Macaca mulatta: one gene and its partner. The protein of the gene in region 2 purifies or fractionates together with the protein of the main gene of each other region. This does not show direct contact. Links are inferred from orthologs where the notes say so. Each region holds a gene or a part of one and is shown on either strand. Other genes may lie near its edges.

The links. The genes of interacting proteins can lie anywhere in the genome.
Region 1: the proteins of CBX1 (region 2) and SUV39H1 purify together in Homo sapiens (affinity purification with mass spectrometry; 3 studies listed by BioGRID and IntAct, with this or other methods). This does not show direct contact. The link is inferred for Macaca mulatta from reciprocal best matches to the Homo sapiens genes CBX1 and SUV39H1.

The regions. Positions count from the first base shown.
Region 1 is NC_133426.1:48,776,311-48,779,810, forward strand, and holds part of SUV39H1 (histone-lysine N-methyltransferase SUV39H1), read left to right. Parts: exon of another isoform or gene 1-331; coding exon 332-994; intron 995-3,500. UniProt on the Homo sapiens protein: Histone methyltransferase that specifically trimethylates 'Lys-9' of histone H3 using monomethylated H3 'Lys-9' as substrate. Also weakly methylates histone H1 (in vitro).
Region 2 is NC_133421.1:61,909,832-61,913,880, reverse strand, and holds the start of CBX1 (chromobox protein homolog 1), read right to left. Parts: upstream 2,801-4,049; 5' UTR 2,726-2,800; coding exon 2,719-2,725; intron 1,589-2,718; coding exon 1,471-1,588; intron 1-1,470. UniProt on the Homo sapiens protein: Component of heterochromatin. Recognizes and binds histone H3 tails methylated at 'Lys-9', leading to epigenetic repression. Interaction with lamin B receptor (LBR) can contribute to the association of the heterochromatin with the inner nuclear membrane.

The DNA of each region.
Region 1 (3,500 bases), on a different chromosome or scaffold from region 2:
AAAAGAGGATTCAAGGATGACTCCAGGAGTTCCGGTCTGAACAGCTAGAAGGAGGGAGCTGATGATGGGGAAGACCAAGGAGGGGAGTGGGTTTGGGAGATTAATTAAAAGTTGGAACAGTTTGGACAGACAGTAAGGGGGAGAGCAGGATTTGAACCTGGTAATCCTCACGCTAGAGCCCATGCTTTTTAACCACCGCATGAAGTCATTCCAGAAAAGGGGTGGGGTGGGTTAGGTGTTATCCATCAGCTTTGGCATGGAAGCCCCATGAAGGCTGGCCCAAAGATCTCACCACTTATGGTACCACCGTTCCCCTACCCACCCCCAACAGGAACAGGAATATTACCTGGTGAAATGGCGCGGATATCCAGACTCAGAGAGCACCTGGGAGCCACGGCAGAATCTCAAGTGTGTGCGTATTCTCAAGCAGTTCCACAAGGACTTAGAGAGGGAGCTGCTCCGGCGGCACCACCGGTCAAAGACCCCCCGGCACCTGGACCCAAGCTTGGCCAACTACCTGGTGCAGAAGGCCAAGCAGAGGCGGGCGCTCCGTCGCTGGGAGCAGGAGCTCAATGCCAAGCGCAGCCATCTGGGACGCATCACTGTAGAGAATGAGGTGGACCTGGACGGCCCCCCGCGGGCCTTCGTGTACATCAATGAGTACCGTGTTGGTGAGGGCATCACCCTCAACCAGGTGGCTGTGGGCTGCGAGTGCCAGGACTGTCTGTGGGCACCCACTGGAGGCTGCTGCCCGGGGGCATCACTGCACAAGTTTGCCTACAATGACCAGGGCCAGGTGCGGCTTCGAGCCGGGCTGCCCATCTACGAGTGCAACTCCCGCTGCCGCTGTGGCTATGACTGCCCGAATCGCGTGGTACAGAAAGGCATCCGATATGACCTCTGCATCTTCCGCACGGATGATGGGCGTGGCTGGGGCGTCCGCACCCTGGAGAAGATTCGCAAGAACAGCTTCGTCATGGAGTACGTGGGAGAGGTAGGGAGATGGGACCAGTGTGTGTGTGCAGCTCTTCCCACCCTGTGTTCACAGTGTGCACCCAGCTCTCCTCACTGTGTGTCTGCAACTCCCTGCTTTCCCTGTGGGAAAGGCCTGGTACACTGATCTAAGAGTGTCATAGGGACATCGGGCAGGGACAAGTATTCCATGCTGGTGGTTACAGAAACACCGAAATACTTCTGCACTGGGTTGACTTTATCAGGGTACTTAGCAAAGAAGAAAAGTGGGAGCTGAGATCCAGGCAGCCTTAGCATTCCTTGTATCAGGCCATGTGGTCTGGCATAGGGCTGCATCAGCTGGAAAGGCACTTCCTCTTCTCATTTCACAAGGGCCCATCTTATCACCAAGCAGTATCTGCCTGAGAAGCATTGTTTTACCAGTCTGCACAGAAGGAACGCAGTCTGGAGTAGGATGAGACATGCTTTGGACAAAGGTTGGCTAACTCCTTTAGACTTTCAGGACACTGGGGAAAGCTGAGTGTACTAGGCAAGCCAGCCATTGTAAAAACAACTCCCTCATCTTAGTGACTTTGCACATTACAAGTTTGCTTGCTTATGGAACAGTCCACTGTGGGGGTTTGGGTGGGTATCCTTTCACACAGCGACTGGGATACCGAGGCTCTTTCCCTCCTGTGCCTTTGCTGTGTCTTGAAGCCTTGGAGTCACCACTAGATCATCAGCATTGCCTAGCAGGCGGGCCAAGTCGGGGATAGAAGGGGCCCATCCTAGTGGGCCAGGCCTAGATGCAGCACCCATCACTTCTGCTCATGCTCCACTGGCTGGAACTGAGTCACTGGCCTTACCTCCGTGCAAGGGAGGCAACGGGATGTGCTTTAGCCATGTGCCCAGCTGCACAAGGCTAAAGCACAGCCATAACTAGCAAGTAGATAACAAGTATCTACAACAGAAAAATGTCACATTCTAAGATGGGATGCAGTTAGCATTTGGGATGAGATGAATTTTTGTTATGTAGAACTGTCTCATGCATTGGGGGACATTTAGCATTCCTGGACCTTTACCATTTAAATCCATGAGTGTGCCCTGTCATAGTGACAACCCCAGATACCTGTATATATTTCCATAGGTCCCTTAGGGGTGTGATATGGTTGGAAAGTGACAGAAACTGGCCTGAGGAACACTCACATGAGGGTGTCCACACTGTAGCACTGATACTGATGACAAGGAGAGGCTCCTGCTCTGAGAAACTGTAAAGTAGAGAGGGTCACACCCCACAGGGACAGAGACAATCTTGGGCAGAACAATCTATACCACAGAGGACCCTGACAGTCTGGGCAAGGAGACAGCCACACCCTGTCCAGATAACCCTGCTGGCCTGCTGGAGGAGATGTCCACATGCCACAGGACCTGGCCATCTAGAAGGAGGAGTGGGGAGGTGTCCACACCCTGAGGGCTCCTGACAGTGGGAGCAGGAGGGAGTCCTGATAATCTGTAGGAAGTCCATGTCTCACAGTGACCCCAGTGACCTGGAGGAAGAGCTTGTGCTCTCCACACTCTAGAGGACCTGGTCTGATTTAGGAAGTGTCCACACCCATGCTGTCATGACAGGAAAAAGAAGTGTCCTCACCCCAGAGGGATCCAGACAGCCTGGAGATCTAGTCTATACCCAAGGGCACCCTGACAGTATCGGGGTAAGTGTCCATGCCCTCAGTGTCCTGACACTCTGGAGGAAGTGTCCAGAGGTTGAAGGAACCCAAACTCTCTGGAGGAGGACATGTCCAGACCCCACAGGACCCCGACAGTCCACCGTCCTAGGAGCTGCACAGAGCAAGAAGTATCTCAGCCTCACTGTACTGGCATCTGGAGGAAACACTGTCCACCACACAGGGTCCTGACAGTCGAGGAGGAAGACTCTATACCCCAAGGGCCGCCTCGGACCCTCCTGGGCCTGAGAGTTTTCTGGCTGCTCTTCCTTAGTGTCTTTAATCCTCTACCCTGGAAACATCAAGGTTTCCAGGGATCCTCTCAGCCCTGTCCTCACCCTTCCTGCTCTCCACACATTCTTGCTGCACTATTTCCTGGTCGCCCTCCAGCACTCTCAGATCTGTGGGTCCTCCTGATGTTGCCACAGGCCTCCGGAAAGAGCCAAACTCATCTTCCCGCATCCCCCTCTGAAGAGACAGTATAGCAAATGGTTAGGAGAGTGGACTCTGGATCCTGACTACCTGAGGCCGAAACCCAGCTCCACTACTCATCAGCAGTCACTAACCTCTGTGCCTGCATTTACTAATCTGCAAAATGGGAACGATAATAGCACTCAACTCACACACTTGTTACAAAAATTATTAAATGAGTTACTATGTATCAAGCACTTGGAAAAAGCACTTGAACAGTGTTCAGTACACAGTAAGTTTGATACAAACATTATCAGCACAGTCCAAACTTCAGCAAATCCAAAATGTCCAGAAGACCAAGTTTTTTTGTAACTCATCTGGCTACAGGACCCAGCCTGACTGGATAGGGTCCTA
Region 2 (4,049 bases):
AAGCAAAACTCCATCTCAAAAAATCAAAAAATAAAAAATAAAAAGAAATGAAAAGAAAAATGGGCACAGTGGCTCACCCCTGTAATTCCAGCATTTTGGAAGGACGAGGTAGGAGAACTGCTTGAGCTCAGGAGTTCAAGACCAGGCCGGGCAACATAGTGAGACCTCATCTATACAAATAATAATAAAAAATTAGCCGGGCATGGTGGCATACACCTATGGTCCCAGCTACTTAGGAGGCTTGAATAGGAGGATCACTTGAGCCCAGGAGGTCGAGGCTGTCTTAATATTAAGACATGTGAGGCCAGGCATGGTGGCTCACACCTGTAATCCCAGCACTTTGGGAAGCCGAGGCGGGTGGATCATGAGGTCAGGAGTTCAAGACCAGCCTGACCAATATGGTCAAACCCCGTCTCTACTAAAAATACAAAAATTAGCCGGGCATGGTGGCACGTGCCTGTAATCCCAGCTAGTCAGTATGCAGTTTCTTGAGACTTTCCTGATGAGATCAGTGATGAATTTAATAAATGTGATTTTTTTTACATTGAATAAATGCATTAACATTGACTGATCTGCATAATTCTGTACCAGTATTTTTTAAATGGCTTCAGACTCCCTATTGCACTTAACCTTTTTTTTTTTTTTTTTTGAGATGGAGTCTCGCAGTGTCTCCCAGACTGGAGTGCAGTGGCGTGATCTCGGCTCACTGCAAGCTCCACCTCCTGGGTTCACGCTATTCTCCTGCCTCTCCTGCCTCAGCCTCCCGAGTAGCTGGGACTACAGGCGCCCGCCACCACGCCCGGCTAATTTTTTGTATTTTTAGTAGAGACAGGGTTTCACCGTGTTAGCCAGGATGGTCTCGATCTCCTGACCTTGTGATCCACCCGCCTCGGCCTCCCAAAGTGCTGGGATTATAGGTGTGAGCCACCACGCCTGGCCTGCACTTAACCTTTTTTTTTTTTTGAGACGGAGTCTCGCTCGGTAGCCCAGGCTGGAGTGAGTGGCCTGATCTCAGCTCACTGCAAGCTCCGCCTCCCGGGTTCCCGCCATTCTCCTGCCTCAGCCTCCCAAGTAGCTGGGACTACAGGCGCCCGCCACCTCGCCCAGCTAGTTTTTTGTATTTTTAGTAGAGACTAATACAAAAATACAAAAATTTTGTATTTTTAAAAATTTTGTAAAAATACAAAAATTTTGTATTTTTAGTAGAGACGGGGTTTCACCGTGTTAGCCAGGATGGTCTCGATCTCCTGACCTCGTGATCCGCCCGTCTCGGCCTCCCAAAGTGCTGGGATTACAGGCGTGAGCCACTGCGCCCGGCCCACTTAACCTTTAAGAAATGACTCCATCTCCAAGGTGGTGTGTACTTAAAAAATAAATAAATAAATAAATAAACACTTCCAGTCTCGGCAACATAGGGAGCCTCTATCTGTATAAAAATTAAAAAAATTAACCGAGTATGGTGGCACACACCTGTGGTCCCAGCAGCTCCAACGGCTGAGGTGGGAGGATGACTTGAGCCCTGGAGGTTGAGCCTGCAGTAAGCTGTGATCCTGCCACTGCACTCCAGCCTGGGCAACAGAGCAGGAACCTGTCTCAAAAAAACAAAGAAAAGTTACCATTTGTTGAATTTGGGTAGTATCAAAGAAGAATATTCAAAATTGTTTGAGAAGGCTAAATATACTCTTCCTTTTCTCAACTACATATCTATTTAAGGCTGAATTTTCTTAATGTACCAAAACAACAGAGCACAACAGAGAAAGGGGAAGCACATATGAGAATCCAGCTATCTTCCTTAATTTATTTTTATTTTTATTTTTTTACAATGGAGTCTCCCAGGCTGGAGTGTAATGGCGCAATCTTGGCTCACTGCAACCTCCGACTCCTGGGTTCAAGCAATCCCCCTGCGTCAGTCTCCTGAATAGCTGGGATTACAGGTGCCCATGACTATGCCCAACTAATTTTTGTAGTTTTAGTAGAGACAGGGTTTCACCGTGTTGGCCAGGCTGGTCTCGAACTCCTGACCTCAGGTAATCCACCCGCCTCCAGCTCCCAAAGCGGTGGAATTACAGGCGTGAGACACCGTGCTCGGCCCCTTTCTTTTCTTCCTTTTAGCTGTTTTTCTTTTTTTCAGACAGGGTCTTGCTCTGCAGAGATCAGGGCTCCCTGCGGCGTCGAACCCCTGGTTCAAGACTTCCTCCTGCCTCAGCCTCCCTAGTAGCTGGGACTACAGGCACATGCCACCACGCCTGGCTAATTTTTAAATTTTTTTTTTGCAGAGACGAGAGTCTCCCTAAATTTTGGTAGGGCGTGTCTCAAGACTAGCCTCAAACGATCCTCCCGCCTCGGCCTCTCTAATAAGTGTTGGGATTACAGGCGTGAGCCACCGCGCTAGACTTGCTGAAATTATCTTTAAATAAGTTGTTAAAAGACCATCGCAAAAGTCTTCAACACATTGAACGGTTTTCTCTTGCTCCCTAGCTGCATGATGCTGCTTCCAGTTTGTTTTGGTGTGAGCCATCTGAGTCGCCGGACCCTCTCGAGTCTGGCTTTCACTCTGACAATCGGTCAGTGGCTTTACGAATCGGAATCGGAGTCCCCTTGATAGCTCCGCTGGGGAACAACAAACTACGAGGTTCCAATGGTGACTCTCGAGACTTAGTGAGGATCCAGGGATGTGGGCTTCCTAAAGCCCCGAACCTCCCACACTGCAGACCGTACCTCGCATTAAGGGAACAAGAGTAACAATCCCCTCACACCCCTCTGCTCTCGCGACCCACTGGCTGACCGTTGCGGACGCCCCCTGGCCGCTGATTGGCTTCCCCTGACAGTGGGCGGAAAGCGGCCCCGGATTGGATATCCGAGCCCATTCGCCGTCCCTCACCCCGCACCTGCGTCCACTCTCTAGCGTCCCAAGTGAGTGGAGGGGGGATCCCGACTCCAGTCCCGGGCCTTGGCAAGCGGAACTGCGCCGTTCGGAAGCGGGAATCCCACTCAGAGCCCGGGCCTGTAAAGGCGGGGCGTCCTGGGCAGCCGGGGTTAGGGCGTCTCCCGTCGTGCACTGGGGCACCGGCGACTCACCCGGAAGGAGAAGCCGTGATCTGGCTATATGGTGGGGCGCGGGCGGTGTCGCTGTGGGGAGCTGGTGCTGTTCTCAGGTGAGAGTGCGTGGGCGGGGCCTCGGGGAGTAGGGGCTGCGCTCAGGTGAGGGGGCGTAGGCTTGAGCGTCAGTAGTGGCACTCGGGATGGTGGCATCGCTTTACATCCTAGGGAGGGACTCTCTTACCACCCGGCATTAAGGCAAGGGCTTGCTGGGGATCCAAAAACCGACTTTTCAGTTTACCTTCAAAGTATATCTTTCACTTCCTACTCCCCCGGCTTAATCGGAAAGGAAGAAGGATCATGTGGACCTTTCGGTCCTAGTTTGTTGCGAATGGAGGAGGAGTGATCGTAGTAAAAGACTGGGGACATTTACTTAAACGGCTAAGACTGGGGGCAATGGCGAGTATTTTACGTGGACACGGGAGACTTGCGGTAGATTGTGGTCGCCGTTGTTAATTACCTTCCAAGTGAAAGGAGTAGGTTAGAGATGGACAAAAAGATGGAGCATAACTGCTTGGTTGAGATCACACAAAGCTTGGTCAGAACTGGGAGCTTCCTCTATCTAGTACGTGTGATATTTATAATTGGAGGGAGAGCTTTTTGAATTGCTATCTGCCATCTGGCACTAAGGGCTCAAGATTGAGTAAGAAGGGACGGTAGTCTCAGTAGTTCCATCTACTTTAATCACCTGATTTTTTTCTTAACCTGTCTCTTGAAGTTGTTTAAATGGGAGAGAAAATAAATGGTGAGACTAAAGCCTTGTATTGTTACTATATTAGAAGCTTTACGATGAATCTACTTTGTAAACAGCAAACAATTGGGTACTCACCAGCGCTACTGGTGCTGGTACAGGTGAAGAAAGTGAAGGAAACTTCAGATGTGGTTGAAAGGGCCCAGGAAATGTAGTTAACACCGAGTTATGTAATTAGCTATGGTCACTGACTCTAGCC